Linked DNA regions of Xenopus tropicalis. The protein of the gene in region 1 interacts with the protein of each later gene in a pairwise test. Links are inferred from orthologs where the notes say so. Each region holds a gene or a part of one and is shown in the gene's direction. Other genes may lie near its edges.

Evidence for each region.
Region 2: the proteins of poldip3 (region 1) and erh interact in a two-hybrid assay, tested with the Homo sapiens proteins (2 studies listed by BioGRID, with this or other methods). The link is inferred for Xenopus tropicalis from reciprocal best matches to the Homo sapiens genes POLDIP3 and ERH.

Annotation. Positions count from the first base shown.
Region 1 is NC_030680.2:115,102,235-115,106,056, reverse strand, and holds part of poldip3 (polymerase delta-interacting protein 3), read left to right. Parts: intron 1-450; coding exon 451-618; intron 619-1,783; coding exon 1,784-1,861; intron 1,862-2,610; coding exon 2,611-2,740; intron 2,741-3,822. UniProt on the Homo sapiens protein: Is involved in regulation of translation. Is preferentially associated with CBC-bound spliced mRNA-protein complexes during the pioneer round of mRNA translation. Contributes to enhanced translational efficiency of spliced over nonspliced mRNAs.
Region 2 is NC_030684.2:109,825,585-109,830,173, reverse strand, and holds the start of erh (enhancer of rudimentary homolog), read left to right. Parts: upstream 1-1,647; 5' UTR 1,648-1,752; coding exon 1,753-1,755; intron 1,756-1,964; coding exon 1,965-2,052; intron 2,053-4,589. UniProt on the Homo sapiens protein: May have a role in the cell cycle.

The DNA of each region.
Region 1 (3,822 bases):
TAATATATTTGCAGTTACCAATATCATAGATCACACGTGTGTAATCCACTGGTGGCCTCTACCTCAAGACATCTCTGTGCTTCATTTGTCACACATTAAATAAAAGGCAGAGGGAAGGGTATTCACTGTTTGGTCACATTTATTGCTGAATGTTCAGTCCTGGTCTGTTCCAGACTATATCATTGTTATTAGGCAGATACAGCAGCCGCAGGTTTTGACTGTAACTTTCTGGCGCATGTCTGCTCACTGGGGGTCATTAACAGGAATTTAGTTAGTATAAAATGTGCCAAGATGTTTGACATTTATAAATAGGTAATATTTGAATGGTTCTTTGGTGGGTAGGGAATGCCTCTTAATTCGCTATATTAATGTATTCATTTTGAGTTAAGTATTTTTCACTGAAAACAATTGTTTCTTTTGATCCCAACTTTGTTTTTTCTCTTCAATAAGGCTCTACCTTTCACAAAGGTTGTCCAGAATGACACCTACACTGCACCTGCTGTCACACAGGCTGCTTCAACTGCAGCCCCCTTACTTCGCACAAAGACTTTGACCAACATGTCACGGACACTTGTAACTAAGGAAGATAACACTCCACTACAGGTGGCATCTAAAGAGGTGACTCACTGTGCATATTATAAAGAAGCAGGATTAGTTTAAATTTGTGTTGCAGACTGATAGGATGTTAGTGCAAAATATTTATTCCATATTAAATCTAAAAGTATTGTATCTTAAATATGCTGTGCCTTTTCTTTCCATTGTTCTAGCATTTGAAAATAAAGAGTTGTCTTAGAGGCAAAGAGTGCTTTCTTTGTCGTAGCTATTGTTATAGCTAGCCCTTTACTCTTTATATCCTGTTATAATGTAGTTTTGATATGGCATGAAACTGGTTCAGAATCCTTTATCAGTGCTGTCCATCTTTGACTTATTTATGGTTCGGTCATTTGATTTTGAATAAAAAGATTTCTGTGGAGCCGTTGGGCCCGCATGTCATAAAACATTAATTAGAGCACTCCCTCTATCCCACAGCCCTTAAGTTTGGTGATGCATCTTAATTGATTATCAAAAGAAAAAAATGTTTGGAGAAGGTTACATTACACCCTGTGAGAATTTCAGGCATGAGACTCCCACACTGTTAGATTGTTAGCGTTAAAATTATTATAAGTACATGGCTTACATTCCACAGTCCTTTACAGAGCTTATACATCATTGTAAAAAGTGGAAATTACAATCTAAGGTTTATGTGACACATTCACACACACTCACACATTTTTTGTCAGGAGCGGGTTACTTTCTTTTTTGAGTGTGTGGGGGTGAAACCCACCCAAGCATAGGCAAAGCAGATTCCTTGTGGGCATTTCTATGGCTGGAGTCAGACCTAGGACTCCAATGCTGAGGGGAGCCATCACTCTGGTTTTCAAAAGCTGGCAAATTGTTTACTTAATTGTGATACATTAAACCAGTGATCCCCAACCAGTGGCTCATGAGCAACATGTTGCTCAGCAACTCCTTGGATGTTGCTCCAAGTGGCCTCAAAGCAGGTGCCCATTTTTTAATTTTGCAATGCCAAACAGAGCCTCCTGTAGGCTGCCAGTCCTTTTAGGGCCTTCAAATAGCCATTCACAGCCCTTATTTATCACCCCAGAAATGTTTTTATGCTTGTGTTGCTCCCCAACTCTTATTACATTTACACATGGCTCACAGGTAGAAAAAAGTTGGGGACCCTTGTATTAAACTGTATTTCTTTGTAATTTATAACTGATTGATTTCTTTTATTTTTAAGCCGGTCTTCAGCCCTCTAGAAGGTACTAAAATGACAGTTAACAATTTGCACCCTCGTGTCACAGAAGAAGATATTGTGGTAAGTGTCATATACAGAAACATTAAGATTACAAAGTGAACCAGGCAGCTGGCAAAAACACACTTGTTGTTTTATATGTGCATGGAAAGGAAAATTCTGCTGTAAAAGAAGAGTAAGGCATATTGCAAGGAAAAATAATAGAAGAAATCTTTTGAAGGGACAATTGACCTTATAATTTACATTTAGTGGTATGTGGGTAATGGTGTTCTGAGGCAATTTGCATTTGGAGTTATATTTAAAAAAAAAAAAAAAAAGTTCACAAAATAAACTTTTTCTGCTATACCTTTCCTCTCAGGCCTGAGCCTAGGGTACACGATTTTAGGGGTTGCATGCCTCCCAGCCACAGCTCTTGCTGTTTTGTTCATTCTTACCGACAACAAAGCACTGGTGACTGAGGGGCATATTTGTTGCTATGGGCAACATCACCATACACTCTATAATAAACTGCTTCCTGCTTGAAACTACCGAGCGGAGCTGCGGAAAAAAAAAAAAAAAATTTCAATACGCCCTGTATACTGACAACTATTTTAAATGATCTGCCACTTTTGGGCCATGACTGTGCTGTTGTACCGAACTTACATTGATTTCCATTTACTAAAATGGCAAATGCTTTGTGTTCTATTGCTGTAACCATCCAGTCTCCTCCCTCAGTGTTTCTAATAACTATGCTGTAATAGGACTGTCCCTGTTTTTAGTGGCTTTCTAATCTAATGATGTGGTATTCTGTCTGACTTTTTTTTTTTTAACAGGAGTTGTTCTGTGTATGTGGAGCCTTAAAGCGAGCCAGACTGCTAAGTCCTGGTGCGGCAGAAGTTGTTTTTGTGAGGAAGGACGACGCAGTTGGTGCTTATAAAAAGTACAACAACAGATACCTGGATGGTAAGTGAAAAAGCTAAAGCTGAAAGGCTTATTCATCCTAACTGTCTGTGTCTGAGAAAAGCTAGGATCAATTCAGACAGTAAAAAGGAGTTTAATTGGTTTTGTGCATAAGGAGTATTGAAGTTCTGCTACAGAAGCTGCCAGTGCAGATATTTGTTATTACATTACATTACATTAACATTTATTTATAAAGCGCCAACATATTCCGCAGCGCTGTACAATATGTGGGTTACATACATTGGACATACAGAGTAACATATAAAGCAATTAATAACCGATACAAGAGATGAAGAGGGCCCTGCCCAAGAGAGCTTACAATCTACAAGGAGAAAGGGTTGAGACACAAGGTGTGGGAATGGGCATGACCAGAGTTGTGAGAGGTGTGGCACAGGGTATTGCTAAACTAGATTAGGGTAAGCCTCTCTAAATAAATGTGTTTTTAGAGATCTCTTGAAGGCAGAGAGATTGGGAGAAAGTCTGACAGTTTGTGGGAACAATTCCAGAGAAGGGGGGCAGCCCTTGCAAAGTCTTGAATGCGAGCGTGTGAGGAGGGAATGAGAGAGGAGTTGAGGAGCAGGTCAGTAGAGGAGCGTAACAAGCGGGTTGGATGGTACCTAGAGATGAGTTCAGAGATGTAGGGTGGGGCAGAGTTATGGACTGCTTTAAATGTGAGGGTCAATAGTTTGAATTTTATCCTGGATGGTAGGGGAAGCCAGTGCAGGGATTGGCAGAGTGGCATGGCAGAGGAGGAGCGGTTGGAGAGGTGTATGAGCCTGGCAGCAGTATTCATTATGGACAGGAGAGGGGACAGTCTTTGGAGGGGAAGGCCAATTTATAGGGAGTTACAGTAGTCCAGGCGAGATATTATTACGACTTGTAATGTGCTAGCTTAATTACTTAATTTAAAATAATGTATACTGAAAACATAACCTATTAGATATATTTTGTGTGTTAGTTCTGAAAGCTTATATCTAAATAAGATGTGAGTTAATTAGTGAGAAAGTGACTGCACTTAATTACGTACCTGCGTTAATTAGCTTCAATGTTCTCCCAGCCTAGCCCATATTTGTTAAGATGCCCTG
Region 2 (4,589 bases), on another chromosome or scaffold:
CAACTCTAAAGGGGGAGTTCACTTCTACATTAATTTTAGTATGTTACAGAATGCCCTTAGTAACTTTTAAATTGGTCTAAATGTTTTATTTTGTATATTGTTTACATTATTTGCTTTTCTCTTTTGCCAGTATTCACATGGGGGGGGGGGGGGTCCCCCTGCGGTTAAAATGACCTGGATGGATATAGTTCTATTGTTACTGCTACTTTGTATTAATTATCCTCAGGCCCTCTCCTATTGCTTTTTCAGTCTTTTGTTCATAGCATGGACTAGTTGCTAGGATAAATTGGACCACTGTAACCAGACAGGACCTGAAAATTTCAAACTGCAGGAGTTGTTTAACCATAACCTAGATAATTGAAAAAAACTACAAAAAATGAAGGCTAATTGCAAACTGTCAGAATACCACTGCCTACATTTAACTCAACGTTAAATTTAAGGTGAACTACCCCAGTAATGAACAATCATAAAACCACTTGTTAAAGGAAGCGTTTCATTAGCCGCTAACACACTTTCCCCTTACTCTCCCATAAACCTATTGTGTTCCCCATGTCTGTGGGGGGTTCCACTACTCTTAGTTAGACAGTGAGCTCTTTGGGACACCCACACCTACCAATTGATATCCCTTAATGCTATTAGTAACTACAGCTATTAATAGAAAGATTAGATATAACCTTCCTGTGCAGTTTGATGCTTATCCTTTGCTATGGTATGTACTCCATGGTCTCTCTGATCTGTGCTCATGGAATGGACATGATGCTATGCATACTGGGGCCAGTATACAACTATACAGACACATAGTGGATATAAATTACATTTACCTATACTATTGTCATTTACAAATAGCCTCATAAAACATATACACAAAACTACTCCCTGCCTATACTTCAGCCCATGGCAGGTGTAGCTCAGCAAGACTTGTCCCATTCGAGGTTGCCAATCAGTGCACTATACCGATAAATAATGTAGGTACTCACACACTAACAGACAGGCACAGCCGGTCCGGAACAGCTCAAACCGAATACGAACCACAGGGCTATTCCTTACCGCTGAGCCCAAAAATCTGCTCCGGCTTGTTCAACAGACTCTGACAGCCCGCAGGAACCTTAGTGGCTCTCGCACATACGCACCGCCATCTTGCTGTGCCTCAGAGCCGCGGCTGCCATGGTGTCATTACATGAGACTACTTCCGGGTTAGCTGGACAATGGCGTCACAGTAGGGAACGTAGATAGACGGACAGCGCTGCGTGGATAGAATAAACATAAAGACAGAGACACGCCCCTTTGTGGCGCACATAAGCATTTAGTAGTTACAAACAGGCGAAAAGCGTCGCAGAAAACGACATAAACTCGTATAACAATATTTACAATTAAATGTATAACAATAAAATATATAACAATAAAATATATAACAATTAAATTTAACTATTATATAGTTTAAGGCGTTACCTCCATCCTCTTGTCTCTTTGACACATAGCTCTTGTACTTTTTATTCATTATTGTAATGACCCCTTGTTTATTATTGTGCTGTTGCACAGCGATACATACATACAGCGCTATATAAATAAAATACACGTACAGTCATATTACACCCCGAGCCCTTATTAATCATGGCCGCCACGACCTCCCATACTAGTCTCGCTGTATGATACCTGGAGCGTTTAAATCTAACTACTTCCGCCGGAAACACGACTTTCCATTTCCTGCTTGCTGCTTCGGGTGCTAAGTTGCGGTGTGTAGAAAGCGCAGATATGGTGAGTAGGAATGGCTGCTGGGCGGCGGGGCTTGTTAGCGGGTGAGGGCGCAGAGAAGCAGCTGCAGGCCGCGGCGGGCTCCTGAGTTCCAGGGGGCGGGATGCGCGGCCCCATAATGTAGCGATGGAGGCCCCCCTCGGCCCGGGGCTCTGCAGCTGCTCCTCTGCTTGTGTTTTGCCTGTAGAGCTCACACGGCCTCTCTCTTGCAGTCTCACACAATCCTACTCGTACAGCCCACCAAGAGACCCGAGGGCCGGACCTATGCAGACTACGAGTCGGTGAATGAATGCATGGAAGGTATGTTAGCCTCACATTTATTGCTTGATAGGAAGGGAAGTGTAGCTACGGGTTACTCGCACTCTATACATTCCTTACAGCACGGGGTTTTCCGCCCAAACCTCCTTTACTGCCCAGGATTTAGGCAGCCCCCCCCCCCACATTCATTTAGGCAATTATCACTGTAGCCTTGATCAGAGCTATGTTTTATATCCGCTTTTTCTGATATCTCCAGGAAATAATTGTTCCCCCCCTCCCCCAGCCCTGAGTATGTAACTGACCTTTATGGTGGCCATACATGGGTTAATTTTGGCTGCCGATATTGGGCCTTTACACTAATTCTGCAGCTTATCTGCTTATTGGGCCTTCTTGACGACGTCTGGCCTGAAATTGGGCAGATCTCAATCGGGCAGGTTTGATTTTTCCATCAAATCGGGACCGCATCCACCCGTGCCTATACTCGCTGTTTTCTTTCGATTGTTTGGCCCCAGGGCCCAACAACTAGATTAGCCCAATAGTGCCCACCCTCAGTTGGGCATATCGAGAGAAGATCAGCTTGCTTGGCAACCTTGCGAAGCAAACTAATCTTACCATGTATGGCCAGCTTTAAGGTGGCCATACATGCACCGATAATACGAGGTTTCGTACGATATTCGGTGCGTGTATGGTATGTCGGCGAGTCGACCAATATCGCAGGAAGCTGCTGATATCGGCCGACTCGCCGATCGGACCAGTTTGAAAATTTTGACCAAATTCTGACCAAAATCTCCCTTCACCGCTGAATCGGCAGAAGGAGGTAGAAATCCTATTGTTTCTACCTCCTTACCTGCCGATTCAGCCCTGAATGGTGTGTGGCTGATCTGACGATGTTTCGCACGGGGCATGTAAGTATAGTCATTCTCCCCAAATCTTACCCCGACTGGCATTTAGTGTCTGTCCCATTTAGGTTGGCCAGCCCCAGTTATATTTGTATAAAGATTAATATTTCCTTAAATTTAAAGTATATAGTGACTAATGTACCCCTTCTTATAGATAAGATAAACATGACCTTGTATTTTCAGAAGGTGTATATGGTCATGTGACTCCTTGGTGACTTCTATTATCTTCATAAATGTTAGTACTGGGTACATCCTCAATACAATCTGCAGGCCTTAGGGGTCAAAGGCGGAATCTGGAACCTAAACTCTCGACCAGCACTTGACCTGTTAGACCCCCCCTTTGAACCCCCGGGGTTATATTGTGAGTTGCGGGAGAGGATCCCAATGTGTGAGAGGCAGGAGGGCTCCACAGATATAAGTGGTGTGGGGGCCCTGTGGGTAGCATAGTTCCACCTCTGCCTCCATTTTGTTCCCCTCCTCACAGATGTGGGGGATAGTTGCCAGTATGCTGTTCTTTTGCTCAGGGTGGCTAGGGGGCATAGTTGTATCCATGCTTATGTTTTGTTTACCTCCCTTTTACAGTTCCCCTTGTTCCCTTTCCTCTGTTTGCTCCCCACACTTTCTCCCATGTGTCTGCCCCCCCCCCCCCCCACACTTTCACTGTTCTCCATTTCTTCAAAGTCCTGTTTCTTCTGGAACTATAGTCAGATCTGCTTTTCCCTTTGTTGCTGTTGAGCAGGCGGTTAGGTGGGAGGGTCTGGCTGTTCAGTTTGGTGGGGACGCAGTAAAGTAGTTGATTCAGGCCTGAGGGGCCAGTGTTTGATTGAGCGGGTCTTGAGGAGGCAGACAATCCGGCAGGAGAAGTTATACTACGGGCAGGCAAATGGTCTCTAGTTTAGTTTACAATGCCGTAGGGAATTGGCCAAACTGTAGATAATATAGACAACAATGTATCGTTATTGTAATTTTATAACAGGGTACATTGTTTTCATAATTCACAGTTTTCAGTAAGTCATGTGACAGATTACATCACTAAGCACCGAGTATAACCTATGACATCACTAAGCACACTCTGTAAGCATATTGGCTACAGGATGTTTATGGCTCTTGAGTATATTAAAAGTTCCATAACCTGTATAAAAGCACAAAATCCTTTGGCTTTTTCACCTTGGCAAATTCTAATTTTTTTAATTTTGGAAAAGGGGGTACATATTTTTTTGTTTATAATACATAAGTTTCAATGTGTCATGTGACACAAATAACGTTACTAAGCACTGTTTAAATGGATGTTTGACTCTTGCGTATTATAAACGCCTTGTGGCATTTTTCTGCTGTCTAAGCCTAAATAGCACAAGTGGAACCTTGGCTTTAATAAAATTATGTGCCTTTCTCGCAAGTGTGCAAACGCAAAGATTTAACATATTTCTATATAGAGAAGTAAGTAGATTGTTCTTACCTTGACCTTCTTCCCTACTGATCATAAAGCCCAGATTTAAATCACCTCCCTGTTGGAATTAATCTTGTTATAATCCATCCTTTGTTGAAGTTAAGGAACTACTCAAACTCACTGTAATGCGATAATTATTTATTTTGGGGATGATATGCATCAGACGCGGCACCACGTGGCAAAAGATGTAGCATTGATTTAATTGATTCTTGCTGCTGCCTTCCTAGTTATAC